3 linked regions of the Oryzias latipes genome follow. The protein of the gene in region 1 purifies or fractionates together with the protein of each later gene. This does not show direct contact. Links are inferred from orthologs where the notes say so. Each region holds a gene or a part of one and is shown on either strand. Other genes may lie near its edges. The genes, in order: pnn, dual specificity protein kinase CLK2 and ncbp3.

Region 1 (4,309 bases):
AGTTTAGTTTTAACAAAAAGTTTAAGCAAATTTGACTATTGTTTTATTGTTTAAATACGGTAATTGTGAAGCAAAAAAATTTTTTTTCAAACTTTATTGAATGTAAAAATTCAATACAAAACAATGTTAAACAGTGAACAACAACGAAGGAACAAGCCAGGGGGTTTATACATTTTATGCATATATATTGAAACTAACACACAGATCTAATGTTTTGATGGCTTTCTTATTATCAGAGTTTCTTATTGTCTTAATGTATTGTTTGAACTCATTGATAAAGATTGAGAAATGAGGGGTATGATTCGTTACTTTTGATTTATGAATGTGCCATTTGCATAAAAACAACAAAATGTTAGTGAGGTACAACTGTTCTTTTTTATGAGATGGACAATGGGTGATGCCAAACATAATATTTTCTAAGTATAGGCGGAAGTCTGGGTCAATGTGGGCGGAAATGAAATGACAAACTTTAGACCAAAAAGTAGTGGAAAAGGGACATGACCAAAATAAATGTACAGCATTTTCAGGGTGTTCTTGACAAAAAGACAGGTAACATCAATATCTTCTTTGAACCTTTGCAGATATAGTTTGGTTGGATAGAATTTATGAATTACTTTGAATGAGATTTCTTTCACTTTATTGGTTAAAAAGTATTTTGCTGGTAACTTCCAAATCTTTTTCCATTCTAAATGATAAACTAAATTATTCCAAAAAGGAACTACATAAGGAATGGAGACAACATCCTTCTGGAAGAGTGAGCGTATACGGCGATTTGTGTTACGTGAAGAAGAAAAACAAATTTGACCTATTTCTATTTTAGTTGGATCAATTGGCAATAAAGTTGGATTTTGCAATGATGAACTTTTGAATAATGTAATAATACATTTAGGAATTGCTTTCAAAACAAAGTTAAATTCAGTTTTTGGTATTTTGATGGAGTATTTGAAGCAGAATTCTTCATGTGACATTAAAGCTACGTTTGAATTAAACAGCTGATGAACCAAAAGGATGTTTTGATTAAACCATGATGGATAAAATAAAGATTTATATCTATAAGTAATGTCTTTATTGTTCCATATGTAGTATCTGTGAGGAGAAAAATTGTGTTTGTAGATAAGTGACCAGGAAAGTAACATTTGTTTATGGAAGGAAGAAAGCTTAATTGGGATCTTTTGTACATTATAGTTACAGAATAAAAGAAAGTTTATGCCTCCTTATTTGGAGAAAATGTAATTTGGTATGAAATTCCAGATTGAAGTTGGATTCTTAATACAATGTCTTAGCCAATTTATTTTAAATGTATTGTTTAATGTACAAAAGTCTAGAAAGTTAAGACCAATTGTGAAGCAAATTGACCAATTTTTTTTTTTAATAAACCAGAAGGTGGCGGTAAAGAGCATGCTTGACCACACATCAACACATTTGACCGTGTGACACAAAGAAGACAGAAGGCGGGCGCATTGACAGATAGGCGGGAGTTAAAGGCGAAACCGAGCCGAGCACGTGACCAGTAATCACTAGCAACAAGATGGCGGTGGTTGTGCGGAGTTTGCAAGATCAGCTCGAAAAAGCCAAAGAAAGCTTGAAAAATGTGGACGATAATATTCGAAAACTTACGGGCCGAGATCCAAACGAGTCGAGGTAAAAATGTGTACAGACTGAAATGCGTTGGTGCTATTTAAGTTTTGTGCTGTTTTTTGTGCTAAAACTCACGAGACAAACGGCGTGTCTCGTGTTGTTAGCAGGAGGCGGCTAAGCGAATTGTCACATCCTAGCAACATTAATTAAACTCTGCAAACCCCTGCTACTCCAAATGCTTGTTTCATTATGAACGAACAGATTGTCTACCTTTGAATTCTAACGATGATGTATTTGCGTAAACATACACCGTTGTTTGTTGAAGTCTGTGTTAGGCCCAACTGCCAGCAGGCCTAGTAAGTCAGTTTAATACATTTTTAAACTATGCTTTTGCAAAAATAGTTGAAACCGCCTTTCTGTTTTAGCTCGTTATGCTTTTGTTTGGGACTGTTTTGTTTCTCACGTGGTTCATCCTTTTTCAGACCGGGCCAGTTCCGTCGGCTCAGCGGCCCAATGGCAGGCCTCAGCGGAGGTAGAGGCAGAGGAATCAACCTGCTCAGGTAAGGTGACGAGATTAACTTGGTGCACTTGCAGTAAATCAAATAAAAAAAAAATAAAGAAAGAACTTTTCCTTTCACCGGTCTTTGACTCAGATGCTCTAGGTATGAGATCGAAAGTGATAGGATAAGGAAATGCCACTTGATACTTAATAATCATGTCACACCCACCAGGCTTTCATTTGAATTATGGTAATGGACTACATAAAGGGCCTATACCACATTTGTCAAACTCAAGACCCGGGGGCCAAATGTGGCCCTCCATGTCATTTTATGTGGCCCGCGAGAGCATAAAAGTTTTTAATTTCTTAAAATAAAAAATAAAAATTGGTGTATTTATTCATATCTAGGGGGAATCTGCCTTGAAATATCGGATTGGGCACCTATACATTAGGACTTAAACACTGTAAATATAACCTAACCTGACAGAATCAAATTTAAAAGGATTTATGATAGATCAAGAAAACATATGTTTTCTATGCAACTGTAATTGTCACTTTAAAAAGTTATAATAAATGAGTTCTTTATCATTAAGTAGTAGTTACATTTATTTTTTCTTACATTTAGTTACATGTAAAAGTTATTTCTGGCCCTTTGAGGACAGCCACTATCCTGATGTGGCCCTTGGTGAAAATGAGTTGGACACCCCTGGCCTATACCACGCTATTCTTACGCCTTATCTAGTGTACATATACATGATGTATTCCCTTTGGGACACAAAAGAACATTTTATTTTAATTAAATATTAGTTATTTTTCTGAGCTTTTTTTTTCCAAACCGGAAGTAAGACGACTCAATCTCTAAGGCGTGGCCTTTTGCTCCGTGTGGGTGCCACCCATTGAATGTCGTCAACCCAGAGCCAGCCTCGGCAGTGTGTCTGCGTTTTGCTAAGGAAAACGAACAACCTCCAGCCTTTTGTAACGATGAATGTGCGTATAAAAGGAAAGCATTTTAGCCGATTACTGCTAGCTCTGCAGATAATTACTATCCGGTCGTACAAAACCGTACAGTTTTGGGCCAGATGCCAGCTCGGATGAGAAAAACAAAGGCTTACATAGATCTGGGTGTTATAAGGTCCCCCCCCCCCTAGGGAGAAGTTATTTTTTGATTGCCAATATGTTCTTTCAGGCGCAGTCTCTCGGACATGGGAACTGGCGGCCCCCCTGCCAAGCAAAGGGACATCGAAGGAGCCTTGCTGAGGTGACTTGTTTTTTTGTTTTGTTTTTTCCTGCTAGAAATAAGGATTTCTAGCTATTTCAGTAGGGACGTCCTGGTCATGTTTTCTTGTGCCCTATCTGGCCCACAGTCAATTGATTTCCAATATCTGCTGACCCCCCCCCCCCCCTATTTTTTCTTTTATTGGACTTTTATCATTTAATACTTAAACAGATACTTATACTTACACAGAGAAAATTTGAGTTAAGTTTTAGTGACTTGAGAACTATTGAACATTTTTGAACAGCCGTGATTCATATGCCCATTAAAATTTCACATTAATGATTTTCTTTAAAAAATTGCTGTTCTTGGCATAAATATGAGTATTCGCGAGTAGCTCAAACACTATACTACCAAGAGTATTCGCTCACCCATCCAAGTGATTAGAATCAGGTGTCCTAAACACTTGGACTGGCCACAGGTGTTTAAAATGTTGAAGTCATTGATCCCAGACGACTGACTCCGTACATCTTTCTAGCTTTGTGCACCTCTTACTCAAACTAGCACCGCAATAAATTGTTGCGATCTGTTCATAATATGCAGACTCCTAGTAGAGTATTTGTCTGTAATAGTGAGCTTGAAATGTAAAGTGCTGATCAAAATAAAAATAAATTAAATATTTGATACTTCTAGGAGACATTCGATTTTCCAATTTTTCAATTGAGTAATCAACCATGTGACCGGGCCGATTTCTAGTCAGGTGATTGGATCGGGAAATCGCTGTATTTCAGGGTTTTCTTTTGTTTTTTTCTTTTTCTTTCTTTTTTATAGAATCTAATAAAGCTGTTTGCACTGATTACCTCTTTGTTGTCATGGCTGTGCGAGTTTAGGCTGGCAGGAGACCAGAGGGCCAGGAGAGACATGCGCCACGACAGCGACGATGACGATGATGTCAAAAAGGTAAAATGATCTGGGTTCATTCAGTATCTCACTATGGGCCACACCCCTCTGTTCGCTGT
Region 2 (4,221 bases), on another chromosome or scaffold:
ACTCCTTGTGTCATGTAAATGCTCTATGCTGTAATACTCATATGGAGAAGGGTTACGATAGAGTAGTGGCAGTGAGTACATCTCTCTTGCAGGACGTCCCCACTCCGACAGATCAGGTGCCCTTCCTCGTCGTCCCTCACACTCAGTGCCCGCGTCCGGCTGTTGCTCCTCTGTTTTTTCACCCAGACCGCCATCAGCAGGTCACAACACGACCGGGGGGGGGGACGCGGGGGTTTCAGTGTTGGCACAGGTGGATGAGGAGGGAGGAGGAGGGTGGTGGTAGTAGTAGTAGGTGGATTTCGTGGTCATGGGGCGATTCACGCATGACAGCACGTGAAGGAAATAGATAACGATATAGTGCAAGGAAAGTAAAACATCATTTGTCGTCCTCTGCTCCTCTCCCCCCTCTACCTTCCAAACCATGACTGCTCACAAACAAAGAAGCATCTGGCATTTCCATTCATCATCTCAAACCAATAAAAACAGGCATTTATCAAAAAAAAAAACTTTTCAGACTGACATTCTGGAAGAACGATGGAAGAAAAAAGTTACTGAAGGAGACCAGCTCAAGCAGAAATACTTCCAAAAATGAACCACATCCATTTTTTTTTACCTAGGAGTTCCTCAAGTTAAACTACCTTAAAGGTGTGGTTTAATTAACAGAATAAAGAGAAAAAACAACTAAAAGGGCAAATTTGTTAAAGGCTACTTATGATTTTTGAAAGAACATTTTCACTTTTCTATGCAATCTTAGAAATCAACTACCACTACAAAATAAAAGTTGATTAGATGTTTAGGAATAAGAAACCTCCAAAATTTGGTCTAAGGAATGACTAAGATGTTATTGCCAAAAAATGAAAATGCCCTGAAAACGGAATGCCAATTTCTGCAAAAGTGTAATAAAAAAAAAACAGAACAAAATCAAATCATAAAATATACTACTTACCAATTCCACAAGCTGTAAAAAAAGGAACGGTTAGAGAAAGAGATAGACTAAAGGAAGAGAAGAAAGGTTGAAGAGGAGAAGATGAAGAAAGCGCTAAAGCACCGTCTCAGACATGGTCGTACTCACCGAGGAGGATTGGCTATAGGACCTGGTTTTACGCCGCCTTCGTTTGTGCTTACGCCTGCTGCCTTTCCTCTGGTAGGACCTTTCCCGCTCTTTCTCACGGCCGCGTCGGTAGTCGTACAAGTTGGGGGAGAATTCTCGTGGATAAAAGCTCTCAGCTGTGCCGTGGGGCTCCCGGTCCCGGTCTTGATCTCGGCTGGGATCGAGTCGTCGGTATCCTTCACAGTATCTTCGGTCGTACGGTCGATGCTCCATTGAGCGATTGTCATAGCTGCGACTGTACAAGACAAGTAAAAACACAAAGATTTGCATCAAAAAAGGAGATTCTTTTGAAATTTGGAGAGGAAAACCAACAAAAACTGCAGCTCTTGGAGACAAACCTCCTGGTTCTTCCATAGCTTCCGTTGGGTCTGTGTCCCCGCCCTCTTCGGTCACGCTCTCGGTCACTGCTGGATGAGTAGGTGGGTGATCTTCTGTACCTTTGTCTCCTTCCTCTGTCTCGGTAGCGGTCCGGGTAGCTGGTCCGACTGTCTCTGTCAGAAGACGAATACCGTCTTGTGTAAGGCATCTGCAGGAGTGAGAGAAAGAAAACCGATAAATCCACAGAAAAACCATCATCAGTCAAAACTGGACAAAGACTTATATTTTACATGTTGAATTATATGAAAAGATGAATAATCTTGGTATCAGATTTATGAGGAATCCCAAACATATATTTTAATCCAAGTGTAACTGGGTTGGGACGGCTTCCTCAGAGATAGCTGCATTGATTGAGAACATAAAAATGTGTCACGAGACCCCGCAGGAGCCACACGGCAAACCTGCAGGAGCAAGACTGCAATCCAAGCAGGAGCCAGACTGCATTTCTTCAGGAGCAAGACACTAACCCCGCAGGAGCCAGACTGCATTTCTTCAGGAGCAAGACCGAAATCCCCAGGAGCCAATCCTGGGGATTGCAGGAGCAACACTGCAACAACCCCAGAAGATCCAGACTGCAACCCCAGCTCCTGCGGGATTGCAGGAGCCAGAACTACAATCCCACAGGAGCAACACTGCAACATCAGAGGAGCCAGACTAAACCATCTGCACTAACTCCGAGCAGCAGAACCGCCTCCGTTAATAACAGACAGTTCATTTAAAAACTATCAACACTAAAAATCATAATACAGTGATAATGAAGAGCAGGACGCTCTGAGTTCCCGTATATTTAACAGCATTTCTATCAAGTTTGTTTGAACCTTTGCTAAACCAGATCGTTTAATTGACGGGGGAAAAAATCCGAGTCCTCCAAGTAACGTCTGAAACATGATTTGATTTGTTTACTCTTAAAAACGTTAAGATCGACAAAAAAATAACCACCGCACCCAAACCTGGTGATAAATGACACCAGAAAAAACGCGTTCTATATAAATTCAAGATATCGGTGTTTAGTTGGTAGCTACTCCATGCTAGCATCTTGCTAATGTAAATAACTAGACCGCCATCTTAGCTTAGCTGGATTTATCAGCTCCGTAACAGCAAGCTAATGTACAAACTGCCGTCAAACTTGGAAATAAATGACACGAAAGAAAGCTAGAAACTATTTACCGTTTTAGCAGCGAGGCCTGTGCGTTTATCCCATAAGAAATCCGTGGTGGCGATAATATTTCTCGGCAAAATTCTTGCTAGCCTGGTGCTCGGTTGGTGTCGTCCGCCTGAGGCCCGCGGCAGGCAGCGCAGCTTCTGCTTCAAATTGCTGCCGCTGGCCCCGCCTCCGCGCGCGAGGACGTCTCCTCTTTCCAAAATACTTCCATGACATTTTAGGAAACCGTAGTCCTTTCTAATCTGGGATTAAATCATACTTATCGAGATTAATATTGTTTTATTTCCATGGAAGCGAGTTTGCAATAGAATGAAACTTAAAGAAAAAGATTGGGCAACAAATTATCTAAATCTGGTCATTACATAAATACATTTGATTTTGAGGTAGTTTAAACTTTCACATCTGGCCACATTTTAAAAAATGTATTTATTTGTGGCTGCTGTTCCTTGTTGCTTCCCCAAAATGAACAATCAATATAAAAGTAAATTTAACGTAATTTAAAAATCCCAAAATAAATTTGTCCTCATGTTTTCCAGGTTTAAAATGTAATGAAAATCGTTATTTCCATCCAAAACACAGCAATTATTTAGATCTAAAGTAAGAATAATTCATTTTAATTAATGAAAGTTCCACATTTGCTCTTGTTTTATCTGTAAGTAAACTGTTTTCCAAACAAACGTGGTTTTAAATAAATAAAAACATTTAGTTTGAATGAAATCAAAAATGGATTTAAAAAGTTTGAGACCTTCACATTTTTTAATGTTTAAAAATAATGAAAACCATCTTTTGCGTCTTTAACACAAATACAGACCAGAATCAAAGGGATTTTTATAAATAATTGTAACAAGAACGGACGGTTTACTAATGAGAGGCTAACCAGTACATTAACATTTTCAAAACTATAACAATAAATTGGAATAAGATTAATAATTGCAGATTATTTGAATTTATTTTGATTTTTTTCATTTATTTTTTCAGTCATAAACAGCAGATGTTTTGCTTATAATCACATTTCAGGCTAAAAGAAGAACAAGCAGAAAAATAGACATTTTATTAAGACTAAAAACTACATTAAAGTAAGCATGAATCCATAATTAATGTAATACAAAGTGAACAAAAAGTGAAGTAAAGCAGCGTAATGTCCACAGATGCTTCAGATGTAGATTTTACTTTTAGAGACACTAAATAAAATCCATTCAACTGTTCACAAGGAAGTTCCTCGATAACAGCGCACCTCGACAATTAATGTCCTCCTTCTGCAACTTCTTTTCTGAAATAACTTCAGACACATGTTGATAAACACGATCAGGTTTTCTTCTTATTTTTGGACATCATCCAGCGCCTCAGTTTCAGCATGTGCTCCAGCCGTAAGGAGCCTCTGTAGATCCACTCTGTGTGCCCGTCACTCTGGGAAAGACCACACAAACCACAAAAGCTCACAAAAAAAAGGAACCACACAAAGATAACACTAGAAACTAGAAAGATCTGCATTTCCAGAAGAAAATGCAGGTTTGAATGCTATATTGCTGAATGAAAATAAAATTTAAAGGCTAATAATTGGAAAAATAAT
Region 3 (3,530 bases), on another chromosome or scaffold:
CAAAGCAGCAAAGTGCCTTCTTCCCTCGTCTCTCACTTGACCTTGTGCGCCCTGGACGGAGCTTGTGACATCACAGCAGCTCATTAATTCAAACCGATCGTCTTTGTTACAGTTTGATTGACAGCAGTTTAAAAGGAGAAATACTCTGAAATGCATAAATGAAATGATTACATTTGTCATAAGAAAAATGCCACAAGGACATGTCAAACACACAAAAAAAACATGATTTTCATTGAAGGGGACTTTGAGTATCGTTTCCTGCTGACGGTGGAGCTTCATGACGTCCAAACTCTGATTTTTGTCCATTCAGGAAGAGGAGGTACCACAACCGACGCATCCAAAGAGACGTCATCAAAAGCAAGAAGCCTCTGATTGGAGACAACATGGGACACACGCCGCCGTACACGCACCGGCACTCCGGTGAGAACGCCGGGGATCCGGCCCAACTCCATGAGGCTGCATTCACTGACGCATAGTCTTTAGAGTTTCCAGTTTTCAGGTTTTAATCTAAAATTCATTCAGTTTTCAGTCAATCTGAAAGGGCTTTCCTTCAACAAAGAAGCAGAATTTTCTCATAACTGAATTAACCTTTTAACACAGGAAATGTCACCGGTGAATCCTAAATAACGCATGCTCCATCATATCCCATAACTCTTTGATCGTCTACACAATGAACCTAATTCCAGGAAGCTTCAGAATCTCCTGTTTCACCTTTATGGTGTTAAAGGTCAAAGGGTTATGGTAGTTGAAATAAAGTTGGTATAAAGGCTCAAACCAAATAAAGGCGGGGCTAAAAATCTGTACTCTCTCTCCTCTCAGCTGACCTGGTCAACCTGCCTGAGGAGCCCATCAAAGAGGAGGAGGAGGAGGAAGAGGAGGAGGACGCCAGTGACGAGGACATGGACTCTGATGACAGGGTGGTGGAGTTTAAGGACAAAGGAGGCAGCTCACGTTCTGGAGGGGCGGGGCTTCGCAGCAGTGCGGAGCGATCTCCGTCTCCGTGGTCAGAGTCGGATGAGATGGACTACGACCTGGAGCTGAAGATGATCTCCACGCCGTCGCCAAAGAAAAGCAAAAAAATGACCATGTACGCCGACGAGGTGGAGAGCCACCTAAAGAGCATCCGGTGAGCCCCGCCCACCGTCATCTGTAGTCATGTGACACAGTTGGACGGGCTTTTATTGTGTAAAGCAAGTCTTCAGATGGTAAACTTTTGTCTTTAAACTCCATAAATCTTTTTTGAGGGTCAGGAAGTGAGACATGGATCATTATTGGTTTTCAGAAACTAACATTTAAGAAATTTTAATTCATTGGAATCTTAATCGAATAAATGTTAATGTTTTCATCATTGTGGTTCAGCTTGTAGGGTACTTCCTACAGAGTTTCTAAATTATATTGTTGGGGGAGTGTTCAGAAACTGCCGACTCGTCTGCATCAAGCCCGGGTCAGGATGGGTTCAGAAAAGCTTTTATTTTGACGTTTTCCTCTGTCAGGAACCGCATCGGGACATCGGGGACCCAGAGCAGAGCCAAATCCTCATCCCCCTCCAAGTTAACGGACGTCCGGCAGCTGCTGCTGGAGAAGCGGCAGGGGCTGTCCCATCACAGACAGCCCCCCCCTGTGGCCAGCGGCGGGAAGACCGGTGAGGGGCAGCCGCCGCTTCTGCCGGGGTGTGGACTCCGTCCCCTCTGACTCTACGTCTCTCCCGCAGATGTCCGGCAGCGGCTCGGGAAAAGGCGATACTCTCCGGACAGACGCCGCACCCCTTCCCCTGCCTCCCCCAGAGACACGCCCCCAAGCAAAGAGCCAGTCAGAGATGTGCACAGCAGACTTGGCGTGGCCGGTCAAGACAGAGGCGTCTTCTCCAGCTCCAAAGACAGAAAGACGGGTACAGTGTTACCGAGTTACCGTCTAAAAATAACCGAAAATCCTTGAAGTGGAATGTCAGATGATCAAAGCAGTAAATCTCCTCACTACACACTTTTCTCAGACAGACTTAAACATTCTCACACTTTGTTTCTCTCTTTTTTAAACTCTCAAAGTTCAAACCTTCATAGAAATGAAGTATTATAGAATGAAAACAAAGATTTCTGTAACGCATTCTGTACAGGAGACATGGCACTGATGAGATTGATTGACAGTGGTCTGCAGCCAATCAGATGACAAAAAACAGTACGCTGTAAAAAAAATGTAAAAAGACGGCAAAATTGCACTGAAAATATCAGAGAGACGGCAAAAGGTGTACCGCCATGTTGGGAGGGAACACAACAGCAGTCCCGATCTGACTTGCCGAACTCTCCAATCCAGAACGGAGGTTCTCACGTTCTTAATGCCGTTTCCTCCTCAGGCGACCTCTGGAGCAGACTCGGCAACATTGAGCGGCGAGGGAGCGACCACTCGGCTCCGTCCTCCTCCTCTTCAGGTCGGAAAGAAGGCAGCGGGAGAGCAGGCAAGAAAGCAGAGGGTGAGGAGAAGGAGGAGGAGGAGGACGACTCGATGCTGCAGAAGATGTGGGGCGCCATGATCAAACAGAAGCAGGAGCGCCTCGGCCACAAGGGAAAGAAGAGCCGCCTGGACAGCCTGCCGTCGCTGCAGATCGAGATCAGCCGTGACAGCAGCGACGACTCTGACGCCTGAGGACGACTAGGAACTCGGCCAGACTCTCCTGAACTTCAGAGCTCCAGCCGGGCCCAGGCGGCGGACCGGACCTGCTGGTTCTGTCATCGCGTCTGGATTCTCTCTCCTTGAAAATGTTTTTCAGTTTCCTGAACTTCTCAAAGGTGTTGTCTGATGGAGCAAAGCATGACGGGAAACTCTAACCCTGCACCTGCTCTACATCATCGCCATGCATTCCTGTTACCACGGAGACAGACTCCGCCTCCAGCTCTCTTCCTGAAGCAGAGGATCCTCCTGTGTCGGAAGAAAAGTGTGAACTGGATCTCCTGGTGCTGAGTTGGTTGTTTTTTTCTGAAATGTTGTGGGTCCACAGACTCCAAGCTTCATGAATCCTCATTAAAAAGATGGCTGATGTTTTTTATTCCTGATGTTTCTTCTCTGCACGGAAAACCTGCCAGGTTTCAGCCCAGATGGCAACTCCACCTTACGCTCTCAGGCCGCGCTCCGCTTTGATTCTCTTACAGTGCAGAAGTTTCTTTAGATCATTGAAATACTTGCTACTAAATAGACCAGTGAAGTGTACAGTATTTCTATGAAAAGTACTCACAAGAACACCTGATTCAGGCCTGGATGGTCAGACTCACTCTGTCGATGAAAGAAAAACCACACCGGCACTCGGAGAACTTCAGACTGACTGAAGTAATAGCTGCCACAAACAGCGAGTAGGGAGACATCTGCTGGCTGAGCACCAGGAAAAGCCTAAATGCTGCCTATTGTCTCTATGAAGCCCACCTTTGTGTTGTAAATGTTATTTTTTAAGAGGTTTATTGAAGTCATTCAAAGCTTCTGGTATGTTTGATTTTATTTTACTGTAACACATCAAAGTAGCTGCATTTTATTCCTCAGCACTGATG

What was found.
Region 2: the proteins of pnn (region 1) and dual specificity protein kinase CLK2 purify together in Homo sapiens (affinity purification with mass spectrometry; 3 studies listed by BioGRID and IntAct, counting the BioPlex papers as one, with this or other methods). This does not show direct contact. The link is inferred for Oryzias latipes from reciprocal best matches to the Homo sapiens genes PNN and CLK2.
Region 3: the proteins of pnn (region 1) and ncbp3 purify together in Homo sapiens (co-immunoprecipitation; 3 studies listed by BioGRID and IntAct, counting the BioPlex papers as one, with this or other methods). This does not show direct contact. The link is inferred for Oryzias latipes from reciprocal best matches to the Homo sapiens genes PNN and NCBP3.

Annotation. Positions count from the first base shown.
Region 1 is NC_019880.2:19,629,905-19,634,213, forward strand, and holds the start of pnn (pinin), read left to right. Parts: upstream 1-1,494; 5' UTR 1,495-1,528; coding exon 1,529-1,641; intron 1,642-2,060; coding exon 2,061-2,138; intron 2,139-3,263; coding exon 3,264-3,335; intron 3,336-4,180; coding exon 4,181-4,250; intron 4,251-4,309. UniProt on the Homo sapiens protein: Transcriptional activator binding to the E-box 1 core sequence of the E-cadherin promoter gene; the core-binding sequence is 5'CAGGTG-3'. Capable of reversing CTBP1-mediated transcription repression.
Region 2 is NC_019869.2:6,675,101-6,679,321, forward strand, and holds the start of dual specificity protein kinase CLK2, read right to left. Parts: upstream 2,813-4,221; 5' UTR 2,657-2,812; intron 1,638-2,656; coding exon 1,450-1,637; intron 1,347-1,449; coding exon 1,073-1,346; intron 959-1,072; coding exon 947-958; intron 171-946; coding exon 80-170; intron 1-79. Other genes in the region: histone-lysine N-methyltransferase SETDB1-B, read right to left, coding at 3,957-4,058. UniProt on the Homo sapiens protein: Dual specificity kinase acting on both serine/threonine and tyrosine-containing substrates. Phosphorylates serine- and arginine-rich (SR) proteins of the spliceosomal complex.
Region 3 is NC_019872.2:24,114,935-24,118,464, forward strand, and holds the end of ncbp3 (nuclear cap-binding protein subunit 3), read left to right. Parts: intron 1-310; coding exon 311-420; intron 421-819; coding exon 820-1,126; intron 1,127-1,493; coding exon 1,494-1,642; intron 1,643-1,711; coding exon 1,712-1,888; intron 1,889-2,347; coding exon 2,348-2,637; 3' UTR 2,638-3,037; downstream 3,038-3,530. UniProt on the Homo sapiens protein: Associates with NCBP1/CBP80 to form an alternative cap-binding complex (CBC) which plays a key role in mRNA export. NCBP3 serves as adapter protein linking the capped RNAs (m7GpppG-capped RNA) to NCBP1/CBP80.